Linked DNA regions of Cricetulus griseus. The protein of the gene in region 1 purifies or fractionates together with the protein of each later gene. This does not show direct contact. Links are inferred from orthologs where the notes say so. Each region holds a gene or a part of one and is shown in the gene's direction. Other genes may lie near its edges. The genes, in order: Strap, Tgfbr1, Szrd1, Csde1, Ddx20 and Snrnp70.

Region 1 (4,913 bases):
AAGTAGAGGCAGGTGGATCTCAGAGAGTTTGAGGGCAGCCTGGCCTACAGAGCGAGTGCAAGGACAGCCAGGATGTTCACAGAGAAACCCGGTGTTGAAAAATCAAAACAAATAAATTTGCTTGGCATAAGACATAGGTACCTCCTGACCCCAAGTTTCCAGTCTTTTGATCTCCTGGACCTTCCTTTCAGGAACCTGTCACTGAAGAATGACCTATTGGTCCAGATCCACCCATCTTGTCTTTTTGAGACAGGATCTCTCACTGGTACTTGGAACTCACTGATCATGGAGCAAGCCCCAGGGATGGTTCGGCCCATTTTCATCTTATGATCCGGTGCTGGACGATACTCAAGCATCACACAGTACACAGGTCTCTCTTCCTAGTGGGGGTGTTGGGGATCAAACTCAGCAATCCATCTCATTAGTAAATAGCCATTTCCTGACCGTGCACTAAAATGCCAGTCACTTGTCTGACATCAGGGCATAAATGTGGAAGGCATAACGGTTTTACTTAGGAACTCAGGACTGTGTGAGTTGTGGTGGCGTGTGTGCACAGAGACAGAGACAGATGTTCGGTAGTGGAGAGAGAATGGCAGTGGGGTTGTTACTGGGTAGACGGCTAGATTTAAGTTGGTAGCACTGTCTCCCCAGCGGCCGGCATGCTCCAAAGGCCCTTGCTTCATCCTTACTTCATTAAAATGTCGCTTACACGGCTTTGTTTCTCGATCCACCTGTTTGTACCCTCGTCCACAGATCGATGGAAGGAATAACCAGAAAAGGGAAAGCTGATTCTCCATGATTTGGGAGAGGAAGTGGGTCATCTTACCCCCAAGAATGCTACCCACCTCCTAAGTATTCATAAAAAAAAAAAAAAGTCTGTAACATCCACAATCCTTGAGGACTACTCCCCAATCCTTCCTCCAGGGCATCGCACTCCACTCTCTTGGGTGCACGCGCTTGCTTCGCTTTGCCAAACAAACTTCAGGTTAAACTCGTCTCTTGCTTGATTCAGTGCCCTGCTTGGAAAAGCACAGAACCAAGGGACAAGCCTCCCCCGCCTTATGTAACAGCGTCGTTTAATCAAAGTGCAGGAAATACAAGAAAAGACAGACACAGTATTTGCTGATCATACACGAACAAAGCATTTCACACACACACACGTTGCTGAGTCAGACATGAATAAAGAAGAGTGCAGATTGGGGTTGGCGAGCGAAGGCCCTAGTCGCCCACCCTGACGACCCGAGTTCGATTCCCCGGTCGTCCTCCGGAGGGTGTGGGCCGCGCGGGGCACGGCTCCGGGACACGTGGCCGCTCGCGGGAACAACCTTTGGATCCTGCGCATCCCGAAGGGGCAGCGGGAGAGGCTGCCAGCTGCTCACACGGCGGCCTAACGCGGGCCGCGACGGCGCCGCCGGCAACCGCGGGGGAGCGCGGGCCGCGTGACGTCAGCACCACGGGCCGCGCGGTCCGCGGCGGCTCGCGCCCTGCGCACTCCGCTCCCCGCCGCGCGTCACTTCCGCTGGCGCGCGGCGGCGCGGCGGCGGGCGTCACTTCCTGCCGCTACCGGTGTGGACGGTGTGGCGGCAGGCCGGCTCCCCGGCGCTCCCTCCCCTCCTCCCTCCCTCCCTGTCCTCCCTCGGCGGCCGCGCGTCGAGGGGACTCCTGACCCGGCCGAGCTCGGTGTGAGTGCGGGGGAGAAGGACACCCGCCCGCGACCCACGCTCGGCGCTTGGCCTCGCCCGGCTCCCCGCCGCCGCCGCCGCCGCCCCGCCATGGCCATGAGGCAGACGCCGCTCACCTGCTCGGGCCACACGCGGCCCGTGGTGGATTTGGCCTTCAGCGGCATCACGCCTTACGGCTACTTTCTGATCAGCGCTTGCAAGGGTGAGCCGAGCCCGGCGCGGCCGCGGGCCTCGGTTGTCGGAGGGAGGGGGTGCGGGTGGGGATCGTACCTGCCAGCTAAAGAGAGAGAGGGAGAGAGGGAGGAGAGAGAGAGAGAGAGAGGAGGAAGGAGAGAGAGGGAGAGAGGGAGGGAGGGAGAGGAGAGAGAGGGAGAGGGAAGGAAGGGGAGAGAGAGACGGGAGAGAGGGAGAATGAGAGAGAGACAGAAAGAGAGGGAGAAGGAGGGAGGGAGGGGGAGAGAGAGAGGGAAAGATAGAGAGAAGGAGGAAGGAGAAAAAGAGGGAGAGAGGAAACGGGGAAAGAGAGGAAGGGGGTGAGAGAGGGGGAGAGAGACAGGGGAGAGACAGAGGAGAGGGAGAGAGACAGAGAGGGAGAGGAGAGAGGGAGAGAGAGGGAGACAGGGAGGGGAGGGGGAGAGAGACGGGGAGAGGGAAAGACAGAGAGAGGAAGAGGGAGAGAGAGGGGATGGCCTTCACCGCCCCCCTCGCCTCCCGTTTTTATTGCTCTTTGGGGGACTGCGCCTGTCAACACACAGAACTCCATGGCGTCTCCCGAGGGTTTACTGGGAAGGAGAAACGAGGCCAGGCCGAGAGGAGTGCTTTTTTTTTTATGTCTTCGCGCTCATCTCATTGTATCATTCTTTGTGGTATGGGCCTCATCCCCCCCCCCCCCAGGGGAAAGTATACACTCAAGGTTTAAAGTCGGTTCAAAGTCAGAACGCCTATCTTGATTGTTTTGACACAAGTCAGTGGCTTCCAGACTTATGCTTTTTTTTTTTTTAAGTTTTCTATTCATGTGGGCAAGTGTGTTGTGTGTGTGCTTCCTTGTACATGTGTGAAGGGTTGCCCAAACAGTTTAGAAGAGAGCTGGAGTCAGAAGGGGTTGTCGGCCTCCATGTGGGGCACTGGGAATCAGAATCGGGTCCTCTCTCCAGACAAGTGTTTTGAATTCTTGAGTTTGCTAAGGTGAGGGAGGCCTCTGAGCCATTCCCCAAATCACTTACACTTCCCAAGAGGAGTGACCAGAATCCATTAGTTCACTAGACCACAGATGCACAGATCAGTGCTTCATGATGGGGACCCTCAGCGCCTGATGAGAGTAAGCGGTAACAGTCAGCAGCGGTTTTCCAATTGCTGTTCAGTATTTGATGTTATGCTGCCAGCTTCTAAATCACGTGTCTTAAAATGTTTTCTAGATGGCAAACCTATGCTCCGACAGGGAGATACAGGAGACTGGATTGGAACGTTTTTGGGTCATAAAGGTGCTGTTTGGGGTGCAACGTTGAATAAGGATGCCACCAAAGCTGCCACAGCAGCCGCAGATTTCACGGCGTAAGTGCAACACAGATGGCTAACTCTGTTCCCAATTGTGTGGTGACATGGCCAGAATCTTCAGTTCTGACTCAGCTGGTGCCATGGAGAACAACGTATGTTTGATCTCACCAGGATTCCGTCCTGGCTGTCTGTGCCCAGTGTCATCACTGAGTCCCCAGACTTGAAAGGTTTAAATGACTTGCCTCTATGCCTTTGGTTGAGACCAGAAATCTTTATGGTTATTGACGTAGCCTGGATAATGGATGTTGGTGAGGCCCTTTACAGACGTTTCTAAATTGAGTGCTATGTGTGCTATCTCCAGATACTTTTTCAGTCAGTTTTTAGTACCAGGATACATGTAAAACTGGGCCTCACACTTACACATTGTTTCCTATGGCTTTCGATTGTAGTCTGAAAGATGCTTGACTTTCCTTAGACCTTCATTTTTGATTCGATTTTTGATTCTACTGGTAGTCTCTTGTGTTTGCCCAGGGCCTTAGTTCAGGCTCACCTTAGCTCCACACTGCTAGGGATTTCCTGTTATTTCTGTTGTATTGCTGCCAATCAGTCAATTAAATCATGTCTCTTCTGAGGATTTGGTCTTTACAGTTTTACTTCTTCACCTTGGGTGTACAGGAGAGTAACCTGGAGAGCTTTAAAAATATTATTCAAATGTGTTCTGTGTGGTTGGTCTGGGTATGAAGTGCTGTCTTTTTCACTCAGGTAATGTCTGCAGTCTTTGAACCACTAATCATTAATTAATCCCCTCATTCTAGTTCCTTTTGTCTTTTTGGTACAGTCTTTGATGTACTAAACCATTGTCACAATGCACTTCACCTGTTTTTACTTTGGGTATTGTGTATATTATCAAACTGACTTACAGTGAGTATGTGTTCTTTCCAGGCATGTGTTCTATTGTATATTACTACACCTGTGTTTGTAGCCACCTGTTTTTAAACCAATGAAGGCACCTTTTTATTTGCTATTGCTTGTGCAAATGTGTGGGTGTGCAAGTGTGCATGGTGGGTGTGTGGAGGTCAGAAGACAGTTTGGGGCGTGGGTATAGGTTCAAGCTGTCAGGCTTGAATCTTTTGTCTACTGAGCCACCTCGATGACCCAAAGAGCTAGAGAGTGGAAATGGTCTGTTGATTTCTTGTTTAAAAGAATTTCTTACTAAGGAGCAATTGTAAACTGTGTTGCCACCTTTGATTTAAGCAAATTAAAACACTAAATTAAAAAAAATGAACACAGCTTTTAACATATTACCATATGCCCTTGTTGAGTTCCAGACCTTTCTATACAGCACAGTGAATCTTACTGTATGTAAATTTAAAAATTAATGGAGTTTTAAGAGACAAGTAATGTTGCACGGACTTTGCTGTGCCTTTGAGGAATCAATTGCTGTGGCAGCATTGTGTATAGCCATTGTGAAACTTTGCACTGCCCTGTTAGGATGTTACATAAATCTGATTTTAAAAACTGCCACAAATCCTTCTATGTTAATGTTCGTAGTCCCAAAGTTGCTTGAGGTATCAGCCTGCGTATTATATCAAAAGATAAAGCACTATTCTATAGCCCTGCTGGCTTCATACTTACTGTGTTTGTATAGCCCAGATGTCTTTGCATGGTTGTCAGCTTCCTTCATTTGAGTTAAGGTGTCACAGGTGATCTGATTGCTACCACACCGGGTTTTATGTG
Region 2 (5,073 bases), on another chromosome or scaffold:
AGGCAGGAAGATTCCAAGTTCCAGTCTAGCCTGATGTACATAGTGCGATCCTGTCTTTAAAAACCAAGGGTACAGGGTGGTGGAGCAATAGGTGAGTGGTTTAGAGCATTGCTGCTCTTGCAGAGAAAGGGGTTCAGCACCTTTGTCAGGCAGCTCATAACTGCCTGTAACTCCATTTCCAAGGGATCAGAGGCCCTCTTCTGTACTCTAGGAACACCTTAACAGGGTGCATCCTTGCAGGCACACACACATACATTCTACAAATAAGCCACATCCCCCAGCTATATCCCTTATTTGTAGGGTACTTGCATAGGTCTTTGGGGTGGGAGTGAGGTGGGGGCAGGCACTGGAGATTTCGGGTGTGCCAAGGCCCTCTAAGCCTCCCAGAGCCTATTGCATTTGAAGTTGACCAGTCTTTGCTGCCTCACTGCACTTGAGCCGGGCAAGCTGGGGGCTGATGATTCTGGAGCCCCAGAGAGCAGGCCCTGAGAGCCAGCCTGTTCAGGCTCTGGCAGGTGGAGGACTTGCTCAAGCATGCCCCAGCTGCAGCCAAGGAGGAGTCTCAGACCCCATCTCTAACCCCCACGGTTTCCCTTCATAGCAGGATCAAACTCTTGGAGAGTGACTCTAAAGCAATTTACCAATCGATACCAAAGGCCGGCTGATTCCTACTACCGAGCTTTATTTAATTACGAGTTCAAATCACACAGAAAATAAAATTTTCTCCTTAAAAGGTTCTGCGGAAAAATGCTGCCGGTGCCATGCGGCCGCCTCCGTGGCTGTGTTTGTGTCTGAAGAAAGGACTAGTCTGACAGGAAGAATTACAAATCTGGAGCTCATTTTGGCGTCCCAGAGGGAAGGTGGGTGGAGCGTCTCACAGTAAATTAGGAATTCAGAATGAAAGCGGAGCTGAGTTTATTTGGGTTTTTAGTGACACCTCGAAATTATTACACAGGCGTGTCGGAGACAGCTCAAAGTACCTTCGACTGCTCCCGCTTCGCCCCGGGGCGGGATGCTCGGCAGGGCAATCCCCCCTCCTTCGAAACCCGTGGGACTCTCGGCTTCCCTGCGGGGTCAGGAAGGGTGGGAGGGAAGGAGGGCGGCTGGGATCCCCGGTCTGGGTCTGTTATGCTGCTGAGAGGCAGAAGGCCAATCGGGGGTGTGTCTGAGCTCCACCTTGGGTATCCGAATCTGGGATCCGACTTTGGGACTGGAATTTGAGGAGGGGGCGACAAGGTCTGGGGCGGACGTAGAGAGCAGGAAGAAATCAGGTTATCTTTCGGGGAGGCTGGAAGTTGAGGTGTGAGTCTAGGGAAGGGAAGTTGAACTGCGGACGGTACTGAAGGACTGAGTGTCGAGAGTTGGGCTTTGCTGTGTAGGGTGGTGCAGGGGAAGTCAGGGTGGGGTTGGGGTAGAAGAAAAGAGCGAGCAACGGTCACAGTCTTTCCCTGAGCAACTCGCACAGGCACACTCTGCGCTTAGCCGGGACTTGCGGGCTCCGTCTCGCGCGCTGGCTGGACCCTGCCCCCACCCGCCGGTAGACCGCGAGTCGCCCCGCTGTGGCTGGAGTAGGGGCTCCCAGCTGTGCGGGGGCGTGGTCAGAGGCCCAGCAGTGCGGAGGCGTGGTCAGAGGCAGAAGCCGGCGGCCGCTTATTGGCCACCCAGAGGCCCCGCGGGCGGGGCTGTCGACTGGGTCCCTCTAGGGCGCTCTCGGGCGGCGGGGAGGCGGGGTCGGCGGGAGCCGGCCAGCCAATGGGCGCGCGTCCCTCGAGCAGTTACAAAGGGCCGGAGCGAGGCCGCGGCGGCGGCGGGGAGGTGGGGCGAGGCGAGGCGAGGCTTGCTGAGGAGAAGCTGCGGCCGGGGCCGGGCCGGGCCACAAACGGTGGCGGCGGGACCATGGAGGCGGCGGCTGCTGCTCCGCGTCGCCGGCTGCTTCTCATCTTGTTGGTGGCGGCGGCGGCGACGCTGCTACCGGGGACGAAGGGTGAGCGGCAGGCGGGCGGGCGGGCGGCTGCGGGGCGCGCGGGCCGGGCCCGGCCTCTGGCTGGCTTCTGCTCTTTCTCAAACATGGCGCGGGGCCGGGGGCGCAGGTGGCGGCGCCGGCCGGCCCGGGCTTTCCTGACCCGGCAGGGCCACGCGAGCCGAGGCGGGGAGGAGAGGCGGGCGGGGGCGGTGTCAGGCGCGGGTGGCCGAGCGCCGGGAGGCCGGCCCTCTTAGGCTCCCCGGGGGCAGCGACGGGCTAGCCTGCGGAGGTCGGGGGCTGCCCTTAGGGGCGCAAGGCTGGCCGGGACGGTGGCCCCGGTGGCCCTTCCCAAGTGCGCCGGGGCCTGGGGCTGCTGGGGCGTGGGCGGGCACCGGAGTGGAGGCGCTCGGGGGCTCGGAGCGTGGAGGGCTCCCCCGGGGGTCGTAAGGGGCGCCGGGGGCTGAGACCCCGGTTGGGCGGTTCTGTCGTGAGTGTCGGCACCCGCCAAGGGAGACTCTTCTTCCACCGGGGGCTTTGTGTGAGAAGCAGGCGCGAAGATGCGCGGAATGTTCTCCTTTCCTGCGTCTAGGAATAGTTCAGAGTCCAGTAATCAGAAGGCTCCGGGTTGTCTTGGTTGTAGAAACTTGAACGTTTGTTCACTCCAGGTTTGGGAACGTTTTAATGGGATTGATCCTGTAGAAATGGCCGAATGCTTCATTTTCTCGAAGGAATCGTTGTTTTGGATATATCGTTTCCTTAAGTGAAGGTAGTTTTAGATCAGACATCTGTAGCTGGGTTTGGGGGGGGGGAAGGTGTTGTGTCACCCCGTGGAGGGAAGAGTGAAAAACTTTACTCTTTGTTAGTAACCAAATTAAAACAGGAGAAAACAAAATACCGAGGCTCAGCATTAGCAACGAAAATGCAGTGAAAATGCATTTCTGTTGCTGAAATTGGATAACAAAATTTTTTAAAAAGCAAAAGCCGAAAAAAGTCCCTCAGGACTGTGGGTGCCGGCTATTATTAAACTTGATAGTCATTACTTATTAGGAGTCGATTTTAATGCATATACAAAAGGTACACCATAGTACAGTATCTGAGACCTGTAACTTAACTATCAGGGCTATCTGTATATTGACATGAAAACTAAGGTGCAAGAGATTTAACGTCTTACTAAGTGTAGAAGTTAGGATTTGTGTTTAGGTCTTTCAGAGTTCAAAATCGGGGCACCTGCTACACCAAAGTAGCATAGCCCAGGTAAAGAACAGTTGATATTTAATTCTTACAACTTAGGTGTCTTTCTTTATTTACTTGACCCATTCACATAGTATACAGTGGGTTTTAACATTGGCTTAGGAAGGAAGATAACTGTGGGCAAAGTGGGAGAATCGTTATAATTATGCATCAAATTTAAGTGGCCATTATTCTACACAGTTATTTGACTAAAGTAATTCATTCTTTTCTACCTAGGACAAAGCAGGACACATTCATATATTTAGCAGTATTGATTTGGATGCTGAGAAGGTTGGTCCATGCCCTGGAGGAGTTTATCTCCTACTTAGGCAATTGTGTAGTACAAAACTGGCCTAGATGCTTTTATTACTCAAAGCCTACACTAACACTTAATAAACTTTTCCCATTTGCTACCCTCATTTCTCAAGAAATTGTATGTAACCTTGAATATATAGATGTAGAAAGCAGGTATATAAGTCAAACATACTGATAATAGATCATAAATAAAATTATTTTAAAAATAATTCATTGGCACATACAGTTTACTACTGTTTATTAGAGATTAAAGCAAATTCTCATTGTAATGAAGTGGGTGAGTTTATTTTTACATAGAGAATTAAATCATCCAATGCCACCTCACATAATTGCATATGTTTAGAGCCATTTCAGAAATTGTTGTGTCTTAATCACCAGATGAAATTATTTTAACAGTTTTTAAAATGAAACTTAACAACTTAAACAGTTTTTCAAATCAAACATTCTAACTCAATACAATTAAGGATACACCCCTTTGATACACATGGGGAATGAAAGTCTTTTGTAGTTAATCAAGTTTCTGAAAAAGTAGAAAATTTTGTATGTACAATAAAAACATTAAAATTCGTAAAATAGGGGCTGGAGAGATGGCTCAGTGGTTAAGAGCACCTTCTGACTGCTCTTCCAGAGAACTTGGGTTCAATTCCCAACACCCACTTGGCAGCTAACAACTGTCTGTAACTCCTGTTCCAGAGTACCTGACACACTCATGCAGATATACATGCAGTCACAACACCAATGCACATAAGTACAAATATTTTTTAAAGCCTCATAAAATAATAGTCCAGACTCTGTTGGCATTGCATAGCATGACAACATGTGTGTTCAGAACTAAGGCTGCAGTGAAGTTGCATCATGCAACACAAACATGCACCTCCAGAAACATCTCAGAGTCATTGCTCATTTGATTTTGACTTACTTTTGGGTGTTGTGTATTCAGAAGCCCTTTATTGTTGCCAGAGTTGTTGTGACCCCCCCCCCACCTCTATATGCAGTTATGACTCCGTTTAAGAAGCAAGAAGCTATGGCCAACCTGGCATAGTGGTCCACACCTTTAATCTCAGCACTTGAGAGGCAGAGGCAAAGAGATCTCTGTGACTTTGAGGACAGCCTGGTCTACATAGTAAGTTCTAGGACAGCCAGAGTTACAAATTATACAGACCTTATCTCGAACCCCCACTCGCCCTAAAAGGAGGAAGCTGTGGCCTAGATAAGTTAGGTTGATGTTTCAGTGTATCCTTTTATATATTCAGAAGAAGCTCACATGCCTTTATAATTTAGCTTCTCTTAAAACTGGAAGTGCTCTTTACTGTCTGAGTATGATTTATATTTCACTGCCAGCTTCTGTTTTCTCCAATACATATTTTTGTAGGGAAATTGGTTCCTTGTCCCTGGTACACAGTATTACTGTTTATAGCTGCATCACATGTTAAAATGCTGTTTGTTGCCTGCCATTTCATGACTTCCTTGGAAAACATTCCTAACAGCTGAGTCCTGCCGGTTACCCCCTAAATCTACTTTTTCTGTAGTGTTTCTGTCATGGAACATTTTTATGAACTGATGCC
Region 3 (4,436 bases), on another chromosome or scaffold:
TGAAATTTTGATATTTTCATTTTTTTTTTAATTTTAGATTTGAATTATGTGTGTTACTCTCTGATAACATAGTATTTGTTAAAACTGCTTTTGGAGCCGGGTAGTGGTGGTGCACGTCTTTAATCCCAGTAACAGGGAGGCAGAGGCAGATGGATCTCTGTGAGTTCAAGGCCAGCCTGGTCTATAGAATGAGTTCCAGGATAGCTAAAGCTATACAGAGAAACCCTGTCTTAAAATAAATAAATGCCCAAAATTAAACAAAACAAAACCTGCTTAGGAGGTTGGAGACATGGCTCAGTCCGGAGAGCGCTCCAGCACATGCATGTGTGACCTGAGTTTGGATTCCAGTGCCCACGTCAAAGCTGGGCACAGGCTTCTGAGGTGGCTTAGCTGGGGGTAAGGGCGCTTGCTGCCAAGTCTAACTGCCTGAGTTCAGTCCCTGGAACTGTCAGGGTGGAGAGAGAACCAGCCCCTGCAAGTCGACCTCTGACCTCCGTTCTCAGGCTTTGGGCTGCTCATGTATACTCATGTACATACACACAGTAAGTGTAAGTGTGGTGATATTTTGTTTGTTCTAACAAATACAGCTTGCCTGAAGATCAGAGTGCAAAGCTAGCCACACTAGTTAGCCACAGAGGCCAGGCAGTGGTGGTGCACACCTTTAATCCCGGCACTCATGAGACAGAGGCAGATGGATCTCTGTTAGTTCAGGGCCACCCTGGGCTACATGAAATTGAACCAGTCTAAAAAAGAAAGAGAGCCCGTACAAAGGTGATCCCAGCACTTGTAGTCACATGCCTTTAATACCAGCACTAGGAGGTGAAGACAGGAAGGGATAGGGCTGGGCGAAGAGGACTATAAGGCAGGAGGAGACAGCAGCTCACTGCAGTCTGAGGAGCAGTGCAGTCTAAGTAAGTCTGAGGATGCAATTTGAGACAGGTTGGCCCCTTTGGTCTGAACATTGGTAGGAGTAAGAATTCTCTAGTGGCTGGCTGTTTTGCTTCTCTTAAGTATTAACTCCAATATCTGACTCTGGGTTTTTATTATTAAGACCAGTTAGAGCTCATGCTAGATTTAACATTTTTGTAAAAAGAAAATATGGTTGAAGATTGAGGAACAACCAGATGTTAGCATGCACACATAAACATACAAAAGCCTATTTTTTTTTTTAAAGATTTTATTTATTTATTATGTGTACAACATTCTGCCTCCATGTATATCTGCACACCAGAAGAGGGCACCAGGTCTCATAACGGATGGTTGTGAGCCACCATGTGGTTGCTGGGAATTGAACTCTGGACCTCTGGAAGAGTAGTCAGTGCTCTTAACTTCTGAGCCATCTCTCCAGCCCCCTCAAAAGCCTATTTTTGAGGCAGGGTCTCGTGTAGCTCAAAGGCTAGCATCCAAGTCACTACTACAGATGGGATAACCTTGAATGATGATCCTTCTGTCTCTACCTCCTGACTGCTGGGTGGGATTCCAGGCGTGTACCACCTCACCTGGTTTACATAGAAATGGAATTAAATCTAGGACTTCATACATGCTATGACACATGTCTAGCCCATAACTTTTGTCTTTTGACAGTTTCACCCTGTAGCTTAGGCTAGCTGGCAGTTCTCCTGCCTCTGCCTCTCCAGTGGTAGGATTTCAGCCTGCCATACCACACAGACTGTTGTTCCTTCTTTTCTCCCCAGTGTTGGGGACTGCACTGTTGGCCTCAAGACTGTTAGACAGGCAGCCTGCCTCGGAACTTGGCTCCAGTCCTCCGCCCTGAAGCCATCTTTGACTTGCTATTCTGGGCTTGGACAGTTGAGTTCCTTTTCTGTCCCTTCTTGGTGCTGTTTTGGTTTGCCTTTTGGCTTTTTGAGACCAGGTTCTCACATGCTAGCGTAGAATTCAGTGTAGCCCAGCTAGCCTTGCACTTAGGGTGGTCCTCCTGCCTCCCTGGCACTGTCACAGGCATGTGCCACCATGTCCAGTGCTGCGTTGTTTTGAAGGAACATCCATTCTGTTTTCTCCTCTTAGTCTGCACCTGTCTGGAGTGGGAAAAGTCCATTTCCTTCTGTCTTCTCTAGTACTAGGAGTCAGCAGCTAGCCTCGTGGTTTGGAGGGAAGCAGGAGGCAGACAGGTGGGTGCCAGCTCGCTCCTAAGCGCGTAGCTAGGGGCCCAACACTGGTGGTTCTGTGCAAGAGGTGCTGCCCATGGCTACTCCTCCCTCCATGGGATGGGGTACACACACTCCCTCTGTTTACAAATAAGTAATGCAAATGAGAGGGTGTTGGGGCGGGGGGAGGGGGCAATGCTGTAATTGCTAGAGGTTAACATAGACTGTGGACCACTACCTCCTTCCCACAGGGAGCTGCCACAGTGGAAAATGTCCCTAATCTGCTTGCCAAAGAAGTAGGCTCAGCTCAGTACCTCCAGTTGGCTGGTAAAACCCCAACCTCAGCCATGGGTTGATTTTAAGGTTCAGGGACTTCAGGCTGAGATGTGGCTCAGTTGGTATTAGTGCTGCAGCACAAGCATGAGGACCCGACTCCCCAGCACCCACATAAATAAAAGCCAAGCAAAGCTACAAGTGACTGTAACCCCACCCAGTGTGGGACAGAGGGGTGTGGAGGAGTTAGATGGATCCCTGAAGCTCATTGGCCAGCCAGCGTAGTCAGGTGGTGAATTCCAGATTCAGTAAAACCCTGTCTTGGAAAATAAAGTGGAGAGCAGTAGAGGCCACCTGACGTCTCTGGCAGTACACACACACCTATGCACACGTCCCCACACTCAAACAGGTACAAAAGAATGATTTGGGCATCTTTTATATCCTAAAGGCCTTCCTCTTTCTTATCTTCCTTTAGGCCAACCAGGATCTCCCAACCCGAAGACAGCAGGCAGCCCAGTAATGTGATCAGACAGCCTTTGGGTCCTGATGGGTCACAAGGCTTCAAACAACGCAGATAAATGCAGGCAAGAAAGGATGCCGCTGCCGCCGCCGCCGCCATCGCCTCCTGGATTGTCTGCCATGGGTTGCACTGCCGTGGCAGACATCTGGACTTGAGCAGAGGGAACGACCTGACTTACTTGCACTGTGATCCCCCTTGCTCCGCCCACTGTGACCTTGAACCCCATGCACTGTGACCTCTGCCTCCCCACCTTCCCACTGTGATTGGCATGTTGACAAGGGCTGTCCCAAGTCAATAGAAAGGGAAAGGGTGGGGATTAGGGGAGGATTGGGGGAACCTACCAAGGACTCAGAGTAGAGGGTCAGACAGTGCTACTTGGGGTAAAGCCAGTGCCAGCAATAAGTTTATCATGCTCATTAATTTGGGATTTCAAAACACAAATGAGAACTGCCCTCACCCACCCCAAGTGCATGTCGCCATCACTTAAAAGTAAGTTCCATTGAAAATATCCTTTCCTTTTTTTTCTTCCTATTTTTGTTTGTTTATACAAATATCTGATTTGCAAGAAAAAGTGCATGGAAGGGGTTTTAGCAGTTTAATGAATTTTTAATTGAGAAAGGGTAGTTTGGTAGTCACTTAAAGATGTTTCTAGGAAATTTGCTAGAAACATTAACCAATAGGATTTTGGTGAGCTTAGCTTCTGTATTCCTACTGCTGCCCAGAAAAGGCAGGGCTCTGGAGCCCCCAGTAGTAGATGAGCACTGTGCCTATATTGCCTTCCTCCAGCTAAGTCCCAGCTAAGTTGCCTAGAGACAGCTCAGAGAGCCAGGGGGAGGGTGCCAACCCCACCTCTAGTATTGTGGGAAATGGGGAAAGTGACAGATTTCCCCTTTCCATACCCCTCAGGGTGGCTCCCTACCAGACAGGTTTGCTGCTTCTAGAGGTGGGTAGGGCAGGGAGTGTCGGGGAGGAGACTATACTCGGGGCTCAGAGCAGGCAGAGGTGGCACTTGTCCAGTGTTTGCTGTCAGCACAAGCCCAGAGGAGTCTGGCTCAGGACTCCAGGCCTCTGCTGGTGTGGTCAGAGGTAGACAGACTAGAACATTTAAGGACCTGTGGCGTGCCACATCTGTTGATAGCCCTGGCTCAGAAACTATACCTGGTACGTTTCCTGGGTGAAATGAGTACCATAGGAGTAGAAAAGTTGGAGAAGAGTTGGGAAAAGAAAAACTTCGCATTGCTGAGGCAGCTGGTTGATAGGTTTCTCAGAGGCCTCTGCTGCCCTTTCCCTTCTTATCAGAACGAGGCTGGTATGCAGGCCATTTCTGTCCCTGAGCCTGGAGATTTGCTTTGGCTCTTGGTGGGGAGAGAGAGGCTTGAGGGGGTAGCTGTGTCCCACCAGGTGCTCTCAGGCTTCCTAGTCTTTCCCATGCACTTCGCCTTATCCCTCAGCCAGCCTGATGGCCTCCCCTCTCCTGGCCAGCACACATGTTTGGGAGTGGGTGCTGTGGTGTGAGATTAGGGCAGCTATGGTGGCCA
Region 4 (3,885 bases), on another chromosome or scaffold:
AGCAAGAAGCTCTTTTTCCATGTGAAAGAAGTTCAGGATGGCATTGAGTTACAGGCAGGAGATGAGGTGGAATTCTCAGTGATTCTTAATCAGCGCACTGGGAAATGCAGTGCCTGTAATGTTTGGCGAGTCTGGTGAGTTTGTTTGTTTGTTTATTGTGGTTGGATTAGTAATTGCCCTGAGTTCATTCCCCTAATTTGTATAATCTGTGCTTTGCCAGATGTCTTTCCTTTCCCACTCTTGTCTGTTTGGGTTTATTAGGTACTAGGTACTATTTTCCACTTATGCCATTATCTGGTTTTGTCTTTGACTCTAGTCACTGGTTTCAGACAGGTCTCACCTTATTATTTATGACTGACCTTGATCTTGCTGGCATGTGCCTTCTCCCATATCTCTCTTTCTGTCTCCAGGTTTTTTTTTTTTTTTTTTTTTTTTTTTTTTTTTTTTTAATCTGACCTTGAGGCTGTGAGACACACTTAGGTGCTGTTATGCATTAGCACTGGATGTGCTGGTCTTCAATATTAAAAGGTTACATAATTCTTAAATTCTTAGGAAATTCAGCTTATTCTTTTTTTTTTTTTTTTGTCTAGTCATTTCCAGGCCTGTGCTGCTTAAATGTCTAATTTTTATACCTTAGTCATCATGACTCATGCTATTAGGGTTTTTAATCTCAACATTGTTTCCTTTAAAGATAGAAATCTAGAACTGTTCATGTTAGACTTCTTAAAAGGTTTTCCATGTGTTACCTGTGGAATTAGTCTCTCTGCAGACAAGTCTAGGGTCTCACTGAAACAATTCTTCACAACACCTATCCAATTGCATCTGAATTAAGAAAAGCATCTATAACCAAACTTGTCTGTCTTGTCTTGCTAGCCAATTAAGTTGAGGCAAGAGTCCCTCTCATTAAAAGTGAGTCATTTGGGTAGGAAACCTACTCACTGATTGCCTTCTTCCCAGCAATTGTCAGTTTTTCTCACTTTCACACTTACAGTGAAGGCCCCAAAGCTGTTGCAGCTCCTCGACCTGATCGATTGGTCAATCGCTTGAAGAATATCTCCCTGGATGATGCCAGTGCTCCTCGTCTAATGGTTCTTCGTCAGCCAAGGGGACCAGATAACTCAATGGTATGATTCCATTGGGGATTTGAGGGAGGTCAACTGATAATATTCAATTTAAAGAACTTAATGAAGCAAGGATTGCTTATCACTAGTTAGGGTTTCCGGACACATTTTCTGAAAGAAGCTTTTTCCATTCCTTTTAAGATAGGGACATAGCAGATCAGAGTGGCCTTGAACTCCCCACTCTGCCTTTGCTTTACCTGTCGTAGGATATGCTTCTTGGTCTAGGTCTACTTTGTTCTTACTCTTAGGAGAGAATTTGTAGTGGATATGATAATTTAAAAATATAGTTTCTTAGAATTTCATATTGTGATTGTCATACACTCAAATCATTAACTGTTTTATTTCTTCACAGGGATTTGGTGCAGAAAGAAAGATCCGTCAAGCTGGTGTCATTGACTAATCACACCCACAAAGCACATCATTAATCCACTATGGTCAAGTTGGGGGGATTCTGGTGAAGGGTTCTGAATATCTTTCTCTTCATCCCTCCCAAAACCTGGAATACTTATTCTATTGAGCTATTACACCAGTTTTAACACCTTCCTCGTGTTATGTTTAAAAAAAAAAAATAAATAAATTTAAGAAACCATTTTAAAATTATGCACAGTTGCAGCCTGGGAAACTTAAGGTGGCGCCTTATAGTATCAATTTAGGAGCTTTATTTGGTGCATTTAACGCAACTGGTAATTGCAAATTCCACTTCGCCTGTGTAAATGAACAATACAGACTGTTACCTTGTTGGCCCTATGAAATTCTGCACTCTATTCAGTATATACTCTACCTTCATTACTTAGCACTCAGCCGCATTCTTTTCCTTTTCTTTCCTGTTCATTATGCTTTAATTCTGAGGACCATATGAAGGTAGAATATATTACCTTTAAAAAAAATTACAAAAATTTATATAGCAAACGATTTTCTTAAGTTGATGGCCAAATGTTAAAATGTTATTTTCATATCATTTATAATCTTGTCACAATCCACTTAACGAGTTTGATTACATTTCAGTGAAAATTATCTTCCAGATAGGTTTTTTTTTTTTCTTCCTGGGATGGGGGTAAATAACTTTACTACAATTAGTATGTGTGGTGCAGAATTTCATGCAAATGAAGTGTGCCAGCAGTGTGATAATTTAAACATATTTAAACAAAAGACGAATGCACAAAATTGCTGCTGCTTAGATCACTGCAGCTTCTAGGACCCAGTTTCTTTTACTGATTTAAAAACAAAACAAACAAAAAAAATAAAAAAGTTGTGCCTGAAATGAATCCTGTTTTTTTTATAAATAGCCCCCTGGTTCCAGTGTCCTGTTGAATATAGGCACTTGATCCTGGTGTAGCTTCTGTTCAACTTTGTATCACGGGAATGGATTGGCCTGATTTCTCTGCCCTCTTGAATTGGCCCCAAACAGGGTCTCTGGCAAGTGGAGTGAGTGAAGGCTTTTTGTCTAAAGATGACAAGAGTCAGCTCAGGGGTTGTGGGGAGGGCGCTTTCATCTTCCCCGTTGTCGTTTGAGTATTTGATCTCTGGGTAAAGAGGCCATTTATCTTTGTAAACACAAGACATTTTTTGCTTTCTCCGTTTTTCTGTTAATGGCGAAAGAATGGAAGCGAATAAAGTTTTACTGATTTTTGAGACACAAGCACCCAGCGCTTTCATTATTGAAACCGGGGAGGGAGGGGAGGGACTGGGTGCGGCCAGCCGCAAGACTCCTAAGTCGCAGGCCCACGTGGCCGGGGCGGGGACTCGGGCGTCTGGTCGCCTACTGATTGCGTAGCGGGTGGGGCCGGAAGTGCTGCTCCCGGGTGGGGGCTGTTCATGGCGGTTTCGGGGTCTCTAACAGTTTGGCAGGTTGAGGTCCAAGAACCTCCCGAAGCGGGGTCAGCGGAGCTTGAGGTAAGGCTCTGCCCTGGGTGGCGACAGGCTCCGCGGCGTGCGGATGCCTGGCGGGTGCAGGAAGACGCGGAGACTCGGCGAGCTGGAGACAAAGGCCTGGGTGGGGGACCCTGGTTGCCTGCGGCGGGCGGTGGGGTGATCTTAGGAGCCGGAAAGGGGAGTTTCGGGAAGAGGTCGTGCCAGGTGAACCCCAGAGCTTGGATTTGCAAGACGAGTAGGACGGGGGCTTCCTTTCCTGTAGGTTGAGGGCGGGGCGGAGTACGATTAAAAAGTAGACGCGGGTCTTCAAGAAGCCGTGGCCGCACTGACCTCAACTGTTTTTGTGTTTGAATCACTTTTGAGAACTTAGTGGAAGGCCACGTGTATCGAATGAATGCCTTTGAAACTGATTTTAGTAACTCATTAAAGAAGCCTTTGAAGTACTGTAGGTTTGCCTTGCCAGTTTAATCGTAATTGCTGCTTTCCTACAGGTTTTTGCTGGTGTGAAATGACTGAGTACAAACTGGTGGTGGTTGGAGCAGGTGGTGTTGGGAAAAGTGCTTTGACAATCCAGTTAATCCAGAACCACTTTGTGGATGAATATGATCCCACCATAGAGGTGAGGCCCTTCCACTGCCTGGCCTGGCTCCCACTTTTGGCTTTTTCTTACGAATATATCCTTTCTGGTTTTTGATACTAAAGAGGAGAGAAAGCAAGAAGGTATTTGAGGTACTGTATTCCAAAAGCAGTAACGTTTAAGGAGTTTGTGTAGGAGATCATACAACAGGAAAAAAAAAAAAAGCTCAGAGCTCTAGATAGTCTCCAGTTTTCATTCTTGAGCTAGTCCAGTCTCATTTGGAATAGAAACAAATTGAGATTTTGAGTCATTGTG
Region 5 (5,224 bases), on another chromosome or scaffold:
AGTTCAAGTATTAAGTAGAGTTATATTGATGTGAAACAGGACCTCCCACACTTTTTCGTCTTACAAATCTCAAACTCTAAACCCATTAAATAACAACTCTTTGCTCATCTCCCTACCCTTGCTAACAACCATTTTATTTTCTACATCTATGAATCTGATTCACACAAATGGAAACATACAGTAGTTGTCCTTCTCTAATTGGCTTACTTCACTTGGCATAAGGTCCCCAGGGTTCATTCATTTTGTAGTATTTGTTAGAATTTCCGTCTTTTATAAGGCTGCTTACTATGCCACTTTAGTTACACATTTTATTTATCCTTTAGTATACTTTTAGTATGCCTCTTGAAAGTGGATGTAATGTGACTAGCTGCTTCAAGCTCCTACTGCCTTGAGTTTCCCACCATAACAGACTGTACCTTGAACTGTGGTCCAGAAAAACAAAACCAAACCCCTTCCCCTTAAGTTGCTTTTGTCAAAGTATTTTGTCACAGTAACAGGAAAAGAAACTAAGAGAGGAAGGAAGAAGTGAGGAATGAGTCACTCTCTGACGGGGAATGTGCTTAAATAGTAAAGTGTTTGCTTAGTATGCCAAAGTTGTTTCAACCCATAGGAAAGAGAAAAGCAGACAAAGGAAGTCATTTCAATGCCTCTGTGGTGCATGGCCTGGGCAGAGAAGAATCTGGACTGGGAGGCCAATAGGGAAGGGTTCAATAGTTAGAGTGACCAAAAGACCATGAGTAGATACTATATTGAAAAGGAGTGAGGGAGATATTTGGAGACATCATCTGCCAGTAAATTGTCAGAAAGAGGGTGAGGGCAAAGAGTGGATGAAATACGTGAGCAGCTAAGAGGGACCTTATTAGTTCCTCTTCCTTCACATGGCTAGTGGGTGCTTGCTGAGTATTTTGTAAATCAGTAAGCAAACAGAATCCATCTCCAGCTCCCACTTCTAGTGAAATTTCCTTGCCAAAGATATTTCTACACAATTGGGATATGGGAAACAAGACCAGAATTATACGTAGGGACAAATGAGGTTTGTCATAGGTCTTGTCAACTTGAGAGTAATACTCAGCTAGGAGAAAGACTCTGCAGGTGTGTGTGAGAGGAAAATAGCGTTCAATGTGTCAGATTTTTGTTTTTCCTCCTAGTGGCAGAAGAGAACAAGTCAGAATAGTTTCCTGCCTTCGGGGGAAGTGAGGGAGACAATAAACATTCATGAAGAGTGACCAGGGGTGATAAGGCACACACCTGTCATCTCAGTATTTGGGAAGTCGAGGCAGGAGGCCAGTCTGAGCTGCATAGGGAGACTTTGTCGAAAAAGAAAGAAAGAAAGAAAGAAAGAAAGAAAGAAAGAAAGGAAAAGAAAGAAAGAGAAAGAAAGAAAGAAAGAAAGAAAAAGAAAGAAAGAAAAAGAAAAAGCCAACCAAGCTAATCAAACCAAAAATCAAACAAGTGGTGAGAATAACGGGAAAGGCCAGGGAGCAGGCAGGACGGGGGTGACTAAAGATTTCAAGAAAGACCTCTTACAACAAGGTGACATGTGAGCGGGTCCAGAGGAAGGGGAAGTGGTGTGCTAGTTGCCCACCCGAGATCGGAAGGAAGGGCAGACAAAATGAGTTGAACCGGAGAGCTCTATTAGCCTGGAGATTCGAGAGAGCGCCCACGCAGAGCCTGGGAGTTGGCGGTCCAGTCAGTCTCCCGCACTGTGCTAAGGGGCTGGGGCGCCGACGTGACAGGGCTCTCCGAGGGCAGGGAACCCCGTTTTGCTGTGTTCCGGGGCGCTGTCTGCGAGCACTGAGGAGCAGCGGGGAAAAGTGCGGAGGACGAAGACTTCGGCGCGGCCTCAGTCAAGCTAGACCGGGGCAGCGGAGCCCAGCGGCGGCCGAGCCTGACGCTCTGGCTGCGTCACAAAGCGCGCCGCGAGCGCCGGGTTCCGGAGCAGCGCCGCGCGGCCCGTCCGTCAGAGCCGCGGGAGGCGGGCGGCGCCCACCGCGGGCACGCGACGCCCTCTGCAGGCCGCCGGCGGCAGCACTGGTAGCCTCATCTTCCTCGCTCCTCCCGCCTCTTCCTCAGGCTACATTTTTGTCCGTCCCCAGAGCGCCAGCCTCCGACTTCCGTTCGTTTCCTCCACTTCCAGGCCGGGTGCGTCCGTGTCTTCACCGAGAGACTGACAATAAAGTTTTTTCCTCTTCTCGCTCCCAGGAGCCCCGCCTCGACTCCAAATATCGCGAGATCTCGAGGCGCGGCTACCATGGCGGCGGCATTTGAAGCCCCGGCGGCCTTGACAACCGCGGAGTCCGCTATGGCGGCGGAGCGCGCGGCCGTGCGGTCCCCGGCCGCGGAGCCGACTCCCAGCTCCCCGTGGAGCCTGCGGACCGCTCACGACATCGGCGGGCCGCGGACGCGTACCGGGGACGTGGTGCTGGCGGAGCCCGCGGATTTCGAGTCGCTGCTGCTGTCGCGGCCGGTGCTGGAGGGGCTGCGGGCGGCCGGCTTTGAGAGGCCGTCTCCCGTGCAGCTGAAGGCCATCCCGCTGGGGCGCTGCGGGCTCGGTGAGGACCGGGGCCGGCCGCGGGCGGGGGCCTGGCCCCGGAGAGCTCCGGCTCCGCGCCTTTGCGGGGCTCGGCAGTGCTCGAGGCGCGCAATTGGATCGGAAGGCGCCGGGTCCAAGCTGGAGACGAGCAGCGGTAGAGATTCGGGGACTAAGGGGCTGGAGAAATGTCTCCGTGGTTGATGCACGCCTCGCGCGCGCTTCAGGGTCAACTAAAAATATAGGTGACAGTTAGGTGGTCTTAGGAGAGAATCCGGCCGTTCCCTGGTCCTATATTGGTATCTAGTTGCTTCAGCGAGTCTTGCTAATGATACCTATTCTTTTTTTCTTTTCTTTTTTTCTTTCTTTCTTTCTCAGATTTAATTGTTCAAGCTAAGTCTGGCACTGGGAAAACTTGTGTATTCTCCACCATTGCTCTAGACTCCCTTCTTCTTGAAAACTACAGTACTCAGGTGAGTAACTCAGAGGATCCAGACGGGGGGTGTGTAGCACGTGGCCTCTAGCTAGACTTATGAAAAACTACTGACTCCTCACAGATGGTGTGTTTGATGAATCGGAGAATGTGAAACCGTAGGAAAATTACAGAAGTAAACTACATAGATGGTAAGGTCGTTGAGTTGTGGCCGAGAATATCATTATTAAGTTTTTTTTTTAAATTTGGAGTCTTCTATAATTACATTTTGAATATGTGTTACTTAAAATCATTATGCAATTAAGAAACTTTTTCTTGGGCTGGAGAGATGGCTCAGTGATGAAGAGCAGTGACTGCTCCTTCCAGAGGTCCTGAGTTCAATTCCCAGCAACCACATGGTGGCACACAACAGTCTGTAATGAGATCTCCTGTCCTCTTCTGGCCTGCAGGCAGAACGCTGTATACATAATAAATAAATAAATCTTAAAAAAATTTTTTTAAAAAAACTTTTACTTACTAGATTGGGGTTAGAAATAAACTTAAAAGTTTTGGTTTATATAATACGCTATGGCAGAACTTAATATGGTTGTGGTTTTTTTGGTTGTATCCCCCCTCACCCCCAAAGGGTTTCTCTGTGTAACCTTGGTTGTCCTGGAACTTGCTTTGTATATTAGGCTGGGCTCGAATTCACAGAGATCCTCTTAATTTTAGGTTGCCTTGGAATAGTTTGAAGATTGTCCTACTCAAACTAGTAGGAAATATGGGTTTGGGAGATAATTCTTCAAAAAGATTTGTTCAGTTAGTAATACATGCAAATACTACACTAGGCACTGGGGATTAAGCAATGAGTTGGATGTGGTCCTCCCACCATCTTCTGGAGTGTAGTAGTATAGTAACTTTATTTCAGGTTAAGAAGTGTCTGTTGTGATGATGAATCTTGAACAGTGTTGGTTTTTTTTTTTTTTTTTTTTTTTTTTTTTTTTTTTTAACCCGGGATCCTTGTATTTGTTGTCTAGGAATCTTTTTGAGCTCTGTATCCACCACATTCTGGCAGATACTGAATATAACTTAAGGACAGTGGCTAGTCTATTTGTAAATTAAGATGTGTTTGAGAGAGTTTGGCTTGTGACACTTGGCAGCATACCAAATCCTAAACCTAAGTAAAATTCCCTTTTTTTTGTTAAAGTATTTATATTATTAAAGTGTGTGTGTGTGTGTGTGTGTGTGTGTGTGTGTGTGTGTTTATCAAAGTAACACTACATAATTGTTTTAAGTTGGGAAATTTCAGGGAAAAGAACAAAGTACCAAAGAACTCTAAATATGTGATGTGTACCCAGAGTTAAGAGATTTTTAAAAAAATATATTTTTATTATTTCCTTGTCTTTTTTTTAAGCAATATTTTCTTATAGTGACAATATGTATGTTCTGCAGTTTTTACTATGTGTGGCTCTCATGGCCTTTGGAACCTAACTCTGGGAGTTAACTCTGAGATAGAGTCCTCTTAAAATCTTAGTACCTGGGCCTTTTTGCTGCTCCTTATGTGTACCTTAAGGCCTTTGGATTTGCTTTTTCTTTTTCTGAAGCACTGCTTCTGGTGTGTTCCACAACTAGCTCTATGCTGTATGTCTCAAATGTTACTTTCTTATGGGACTTTTAAAATTCTTTGTTTGTTTGTTGGAAGCAGGCACACTCTACCTAATTCTAGCTGGACAGAAGCTTACAACATAGACTAGTCTTCAGTTTGAGGCAATCCTCATATCTCTGCTTCTAGAGTGTCGGAATCATAGGTGCATGCCAAAACGTCACTTCGGAAGGGCTTTCTGATCATTTAAAATGATTTCCCTTGTCAGGTCTTTCTTTTTTCCCTATTTGATTTTTTTTTTTAAATAATACTTTTTATTACATGTATATGTTTTTGTTTATGTTATAACCAAAAAGTGCCAAGAGAGCAATTCTTTCACAACTTGTATGTTTTCTCCCATATAGTACGTTCTTAATAATTAACCGAATAAATGGAATATTTTCTCCTGTTTTAAAACTCCTCTTACAATGAAAAGTAGTGTAGCATGCAATGAATGTATCACTCATATGTATTCTTCTGACTTGTTAAAGTAATATTTATAATTTATTTTAGATTTTGATATTGGCTCCCACAAGAGAAATTGCTGTTCAGATACATTCTGTTATCACAGCCATTGGAATAAAAATGGAAGGATTAGAATGTCATGTCTTTATTGGAGGGACTCCATTATCTCAAGACA
Region 6 (4,436 bases), on another chromosome or scaffold:
AGCTCCCCAGAGTGCATGGATTTGGGTTTGGGTTATGGGAGGGGTGGAAAAGGCTTCAAACAACTGAAGGTGTGGTAGTTTTTATTAAACATATACTGAGGCGGAAGAGAGGGAAAGAGAGAGAAGCCTAGACTGACACAATCACATGGTCTTGTTGCTGTTCTCGGGTTGGGCCTCTCCTGGGGTTTGGGATGGGGAACCTGAGCAGGGTTCCTGTACTTGACTGACCTCAGTTCTCAAGTTCCCTTCCCTGTCACTCTGCTCTGGGATTGGGGGCCAATCGGCCCCTCCTGGAGCATGGGAAGCATCCTATTTCCTGGATCCCAGGTGTCTCCCTTGTGTGCCAGTCTCAGCTGCTGCCACTAGTGGGCGGGCATATGGAATTGGAGGTGGAAAAGCCCGACCCCTGTACTGAGTGTTGGGCCTGTGACTAGTGGAGCATGACTTTTCAGGGAGTGGTGAGGCTGCAGGTGCTTTGAGGCCTTGGGGCCTGATGTTTAAGGTCAAACAGGATAGACCAAGCCCAGGCTCAACTCATTCCTCTGTGAGGCTCTGAGGCCCCTTTACTTCCTTCATCCACCTGTCTCTAGGTGATATGGGAAATGTAGACTCTCCCTCTCCCAAGACCTGGCTACCTACCCTGTAGCTTTAGCTACCCCAATGGTGGTGGGTGTGGGGGTCTGTGTGAGTGCTCAGGTAAGCTTGGGGTCTCCAGGTAAGCAGTCCCGTGTCCCACCCCCATCCCCCGGGAAGCCCGCCTCCTCACCAGGCCCCCAGGAGTTGCCGAGCCCCCCCCATCCCGCTCGGTTTGGACACCCGCAAGGCCGGCATCGGTAAATGGCACCTTTTTCTCTTCCTCTGGTTTTTATTGGGGGGGAGCGGGCAGGGGTGGGGCAGGGTATTGTGGTTGGTGAGCACAGTCCCTTAGGCCAGGGCTGGGACCTGGACAGGGACTTTTTAACATCCCTGCCTGATCACAGGCCTGAAGGCTGGGCCTCCCCACTCTGTCCTATGCTCCTCAACTTCCCTGAGGGCTAAGGCTGGGCTGTGTGCCCTGCTGGCCATTGAGCTTGGCCTGGAGGACAGAGCTGACCAGGCTAGGTGGTGGCAGGGTCAGTCTGCTCAGGTAAGGCAGGGATTTTGAGTAGCACGGCACTTGTACCTCTGGGCCCAGCCAGGGTCCTTGGAGGCCCCTGGGGAGCTCAGCACCCACCTCTATCTATCCCTGCCAGTTCCTTAAAGTCTCCACTCCTGTTCATTTCTGTTCTGATGTCTGTTTCCTCGCACTGACCTCCCTATGAAAACACAGAAAAAGAAAACTGGTGTGGCCTGGGTGTGGAGGGGCCCAGTGGGCCTCCTGCCTCAGCATGGTGTCTAGGGTGCATGCCTGGGTGTGGAGGGGCCTAGCCAGCCTCCTGCCCAGCATGGTGTCCAGGGTGCATGCCTGGGTGTGGAGGAGCCCTCCCCACAGCAGAGGCCAGCATTCAGCTAACCTCCAGTTTCTTTGCAGCAACTTTGGCCACCCTGGCATGAGGGGGCTGCTCCATCATATGGGAGCTGGGGGTGGCCAGGGTGAATGTTTTGCCCCCCAATGGCAATTGGGGGTGCCACAGAGGAATCAGGGACTGGATGGAGCAGGCCCTTCGGGCGGGGGGGGGGGTGAGACGAGGGCTGTCTGGCTGTTGGTTGCCTGGCTGACTGGTGGGTGTGTGAGTGTATGTGTGCAGATGGGGTTTGAGGGGCAGGGATGCTGTTGCATGGATCCTTGTCTGACTAGAGCACCTTCTGGGGAATCCCCCCTTCCCCACATCTGTTGCAGCCGCTTACAAGCACGCAGATGGCAAGAAGATAGATGGCAGGAGGGTCCTTGTGGATGTGGAGAGGGGCCGGACTGTGAAGGGCTGGAGGCCCCGGCGGCTAGGTGAGTACATTTTGCCTTCCAGGTACCGGGGCTTGTTTGTGGATCATTTTGCCTTCAGTTTCCCCAACTCATATGCTGCCTGTTCCCCTCTGTTTCCAGCTTGTCTTCTCTCATGCTCTTCATGGCTTAGACACAAACACCTACACATGAGTGTTGAGGGATACACAAACACCTACACATGAGCATCCAAGCCTACCCTGGTCTTTCCTGAGTGAGTGACCAGCAGCAGCTCTTGTTTCTGCATTGGCAGTAACTTCAGCACTGCCCTCAGCCACCTAACACCTAGTGTACTTGCTGTCTATCTTAGGCCAGGTTGGAGATGTCACTGGCTCCAGCTTTGAGCCTCCTCTCATTGAATGGTTTCTTCATTCACTCACTGTCTGAGTCACTAGCCCAGTTTCTACCTTTACATCTGGAGCAAGAGAACAGCAGCCTATGTGTGCTCTGACCTTTCATCTGTTTCCTTACTCACTCCCTTTATAGTTGTTATTGGCTATCTCCGTCGGGGTTGTTACTGTGGCAGGTCTGGAAATACATATGAGGGTTTTGAAGCATAAGGAAACGAGGGACCTACTGATGCAGGACTCTTGTCTCAGTCCTAAGCCCATGGACTTATGGATCCTCACCAAGAGGACTTTGAGGCTGGATGTTGAGAGATTGTGGACAAGTGTCATTCTCTGTGCTATTTGCCCATCTAATAGCTTAGTATTAGGCTATGCCTGGGATGCAAGTCTTGTGTGCCAGGAGTCTGTCTTGGGCAGCATTACCTGGCTTTGCTGAGTTGACCTAGCACCCCAACCCCCAGGGGCCTCCAGTTCTTAGAAAAAGAATGAGTACTTGAGGTTTGTGCTGGGAGATTCCTGAAATCTCAGCAACAAACCAGTTGTCCTGGTGTACAGACTTGCTGATAATGTGATAGTATGGGTTCACTCACACAGGCACACATGTAACCTTTGTGAAGCTTTTGCAGTACTTTTCCATATAAAGTGTGTAGAAGCATTTTTTATTACTTGAGTGTAGTTCTGAGAAAGGGTCTCAACGTGAAGCCCAGGGTAGCCTCTAGCACATGGTGATTTCTCCTGCCTTGCCCTGTTGAGTGTTGAAATTACATGCCTGGCTGTTTATTTTTAAAGAATTGTTTCGCTTGGTTTCTGAGGTTTCAGTCTCTGGCCTTACTGGTTCTGTTGCTTTTGAACTAGAGTGGTAGAGGGTAGGAGCTTGCCTCATCTGTGAAGAGAGGGTTTCTTTTTAAAGATGCTGTTGACATCCTCTTGTTTGATGGCCTAGCCCATTGTTAAGCTGGAAGTCTGGGTCCTGCTTTGTAGTAGTCCAGCCTGTTACCTATCCTAGTTTAACAGCCTAACATGTGACTGACCTCTGTCTTGTGTGAAGCACACTCTCACCTCTCTGGACCCTCTTCAGGTGGCTGGTGCAGGAGACCACAGACATGTGGGTTTCTCAGCTAGAAACTTGGCCTTCCTTGCCAAGTCACTGGGAGCAAGTGGCTCATTGGTGGTCAGGTACATACCACCTTTCTAGACCAGGCATTAAATCTGTGCAAATTCAGCAAAGTCCCTCTTTTTGTGGCACATCAAAATCTGAAGGGGTGAAGTTGTGGTTACCTTGCACAGTTGGTGGGCTTGAAAAACCCGCCTGACAGGCGCTGGCAGCCTATGACAGTTTAGTGGAGTAGCATGGTATGTTGATGAGAGCAGGATCTGCGTTGGTGCTTTGAGACTGACAGGGAAGTAGAAGGTAAAGACAAGGAGAGCATGCTTACTTGAAGGAAGATAAGGTTTATGCCTGTTGTGGGGAGCAGGGCAGCTAAGGAGGCTGAAAATGAAGGGTCCCCTGGGAAGCGGGGTGTGGCAGGTCTCCTTTTTCTATTTTCTCCTTTTTCAAGGTCTCACTTTGTAGCCTTGGCTGGTGTAGAGCTCATTGTGTAGACCAGGCTGGCCTCATGCTCAAGATAAACCTGACCCTGTCTTCCCAAGTATGGGATTGAAGGGGTGTAACACCATGCCCAGCTTCTTTCCACTTTCCTATGGGTTCACACTTTTGACTTTGTGCACAAAAGTGCAAGTTGCTAGTGTGCTAGTCTGGAGTCTCAGGTCTCAGGTGAGGTAGATTATCTTGGGAGGCATGAAGGTTCTTGTTAGGATGTCTTTGAGCTCTAGCACCTTGGCATGAAAATAGGTTATTCTGTGACAAGAGGACATGGAAATGATTGGCATGGGATTGTGCTCATTGCTGCCAGAAGAGGTACCTGGTTTTTGTCAGCTACTTAGGAGCCCCTCTCAAATTTGTCATTTGTACTCTGTTCCCACTGACCTTGTGTTCCTTTGCTTGACTTGTAGGAGGTGGCCTTGGTGGTACCAGAAGAGGTGGGGCAGATGTGAACATCAGGCATTCGGGCCGAGATGACACTTCTCGATATGATGAGAGGTAAGGTTGGGCACCTGGTTTCTTGGGACAGAGTGGTCTGGGGCATCCTGCGACACACTGCTAACCTAAT

Evidence for each region.
Region 2: the proteins of Strap (region 1) and Tgfbr1 purify together in Homo sapiens (affinity purification with western blotting; 3 studies listed by BioGRID and IntAct, with this or other methods). This does not show direct contact. The link is inferred for Cricetulus griseus from reciprocal best matches to the Homo sapiens genes STRAP and TGFBR1.
Region 3: the proteins of Strap (region 1) and Szrd1 purify together in Homo sapiens (co-immunoprecipitation; 3 studies listed by BioGRID and IntAct, counting the BioPlex papers as one, with this or other methods). This does not show direct contact. The link is inferred for Cricetulus griseus from reciprocal best matches to the Homo sapiens genes STRAP and SZRD1.
Region 4: the proteins of Strap (region 1) and Csde1 purify together in Homo sapiens (affinity purification with mass spectrometry; 3 studies listed by BioGRID and IntAct, counting the BioPlex papers as one, with this or other methods). This does not show direct contact. The link is inferred for Cricetulus griseus from reciprocal best matches to the Homo sapiens genes STRAP and CSDE1.
Region 5: the proteins of Strap (region 1) and Ddx20 purify together in Homo sapiens (affinity purification with mass spectrometry; 3 studies listed by BioGRID and IntAct, counting the BioPlex papers as one, with this or other methods). This does not show direct contact. The link is inferred for Cricetulus griseus from reciprocal best matches to the Homo sapiens genes STRAP and DDX20.
Region 6: the proteins of Strap (region 1) and Snrnp70 purify together in Homo sapiens (affinity purification with mass spectrometry; 3 studies listed by BioGRID and IntAct, with this or other methods). This does not show direct contact. The link is inferred for Cricetulus griseus from reciprocal best matches to the Homo sapiens genes STRAP and SNRNP70.

Annotation. Positions count from the first base shown.
Region 1 is NC_048601.1:11,296,124-11,301,036, reverse strand, and holds the start of Strap (serine-threonine kinase receptor-associated protein), read left to right. Parts: upstream 1-1,555; 5' UTR 1,556-1,772; coding exon 1,773-1,884; intron 1,885-3,097; coding exon 3,098-3,233; intron 3,234-4,913. UniProt on the Homo sapiens protein: The SMN complex catalyzes the assembly of small nuclear ribonucleoproteins (snRNPs), the building blocks of the spliceosome, and thereby plays an important role in the splicing of cellular pre-mRNAs.
Region 2 is NC_048595.1:96,063,024-96,068,096, reverse strand, and holds the start of Tgfbr1 (TGF-beta receptor type-1), read left to right. Parts: upstream 1-1,741; 5' UTR 1,742-1,752; coding exon 1,753-1,984; intron 1,985-5,073. UniProt on the Homo sapiens protein: Transmembrane serine/threonine kinase forming with the TGF-beta type II serine/threonine kinase receptor, TGFBR2, the non-promiscuous receptor for the TGF-beta cytokines TGFB1, TGFB2 and TGFB3.
Region 3 is NC_048595.1:12,131,241-12,135,676, forward strand, and holds part of Szrd1 (SUZ domain-containing protein 1), read left to right. Parts: intron 1-2,853; coding exon 2,854-2,956; 3' UTR 2,957-4,436.
Region 4 is NW_023276806.1:53,912,916-53,916,800, reverse strand, and holds the end of Csde1 (cold shock domain-containing protein E1), read left to right. Parts: coding exon 1-134; intron 135-991; coding exon 992-1,124; intron 1,125-1,473; coding exon 1,474-1,521; 3' UTR 1,522-2,760; downstream 2,761-3,885. Other genes in the region: GTPase NRas, read left to right, coding at 3,502-3,612. UniProt on the Homo sapiens protein: RNA-binding protein involved in translationally coupled mRNA turnover.
Region 5 is NW_023276806.1:51,318,597-51,323,820, forward strand, and holds the start of Ddx20 (probable ATP-dependent RNA helicase DDX20), read left to right. Parts: upstream 1-2,223; 5' UTR 2,224-2,251; coding exon 2,252-2,552; intron 2,553-2,908; coding exon 2,909-3,003; intron 3,004-5,097; coding exon 5,098-5,224.
Region 6 is NC_048599.1:154,285,886-154,290,321, reverse strand, and holds part of Snrnp70 (U1 small nuclear ribonucleoprotein 70 kDa), read left to right. Parts: intron 1-1,819; coding exon 1,820-1,921; intron 1,922-4,278; coding exon 4,279-4,366; intron 4,367-4,436. UniProt on the Homo sapiens protein: Component of the spliceosomal U1 snRNP, which is essential for recognition of the pre-mRNA 5' splice-site and the subsequent assembly of the spliceosome. SNRNP70 binds to the loop I region of U1-snRNA.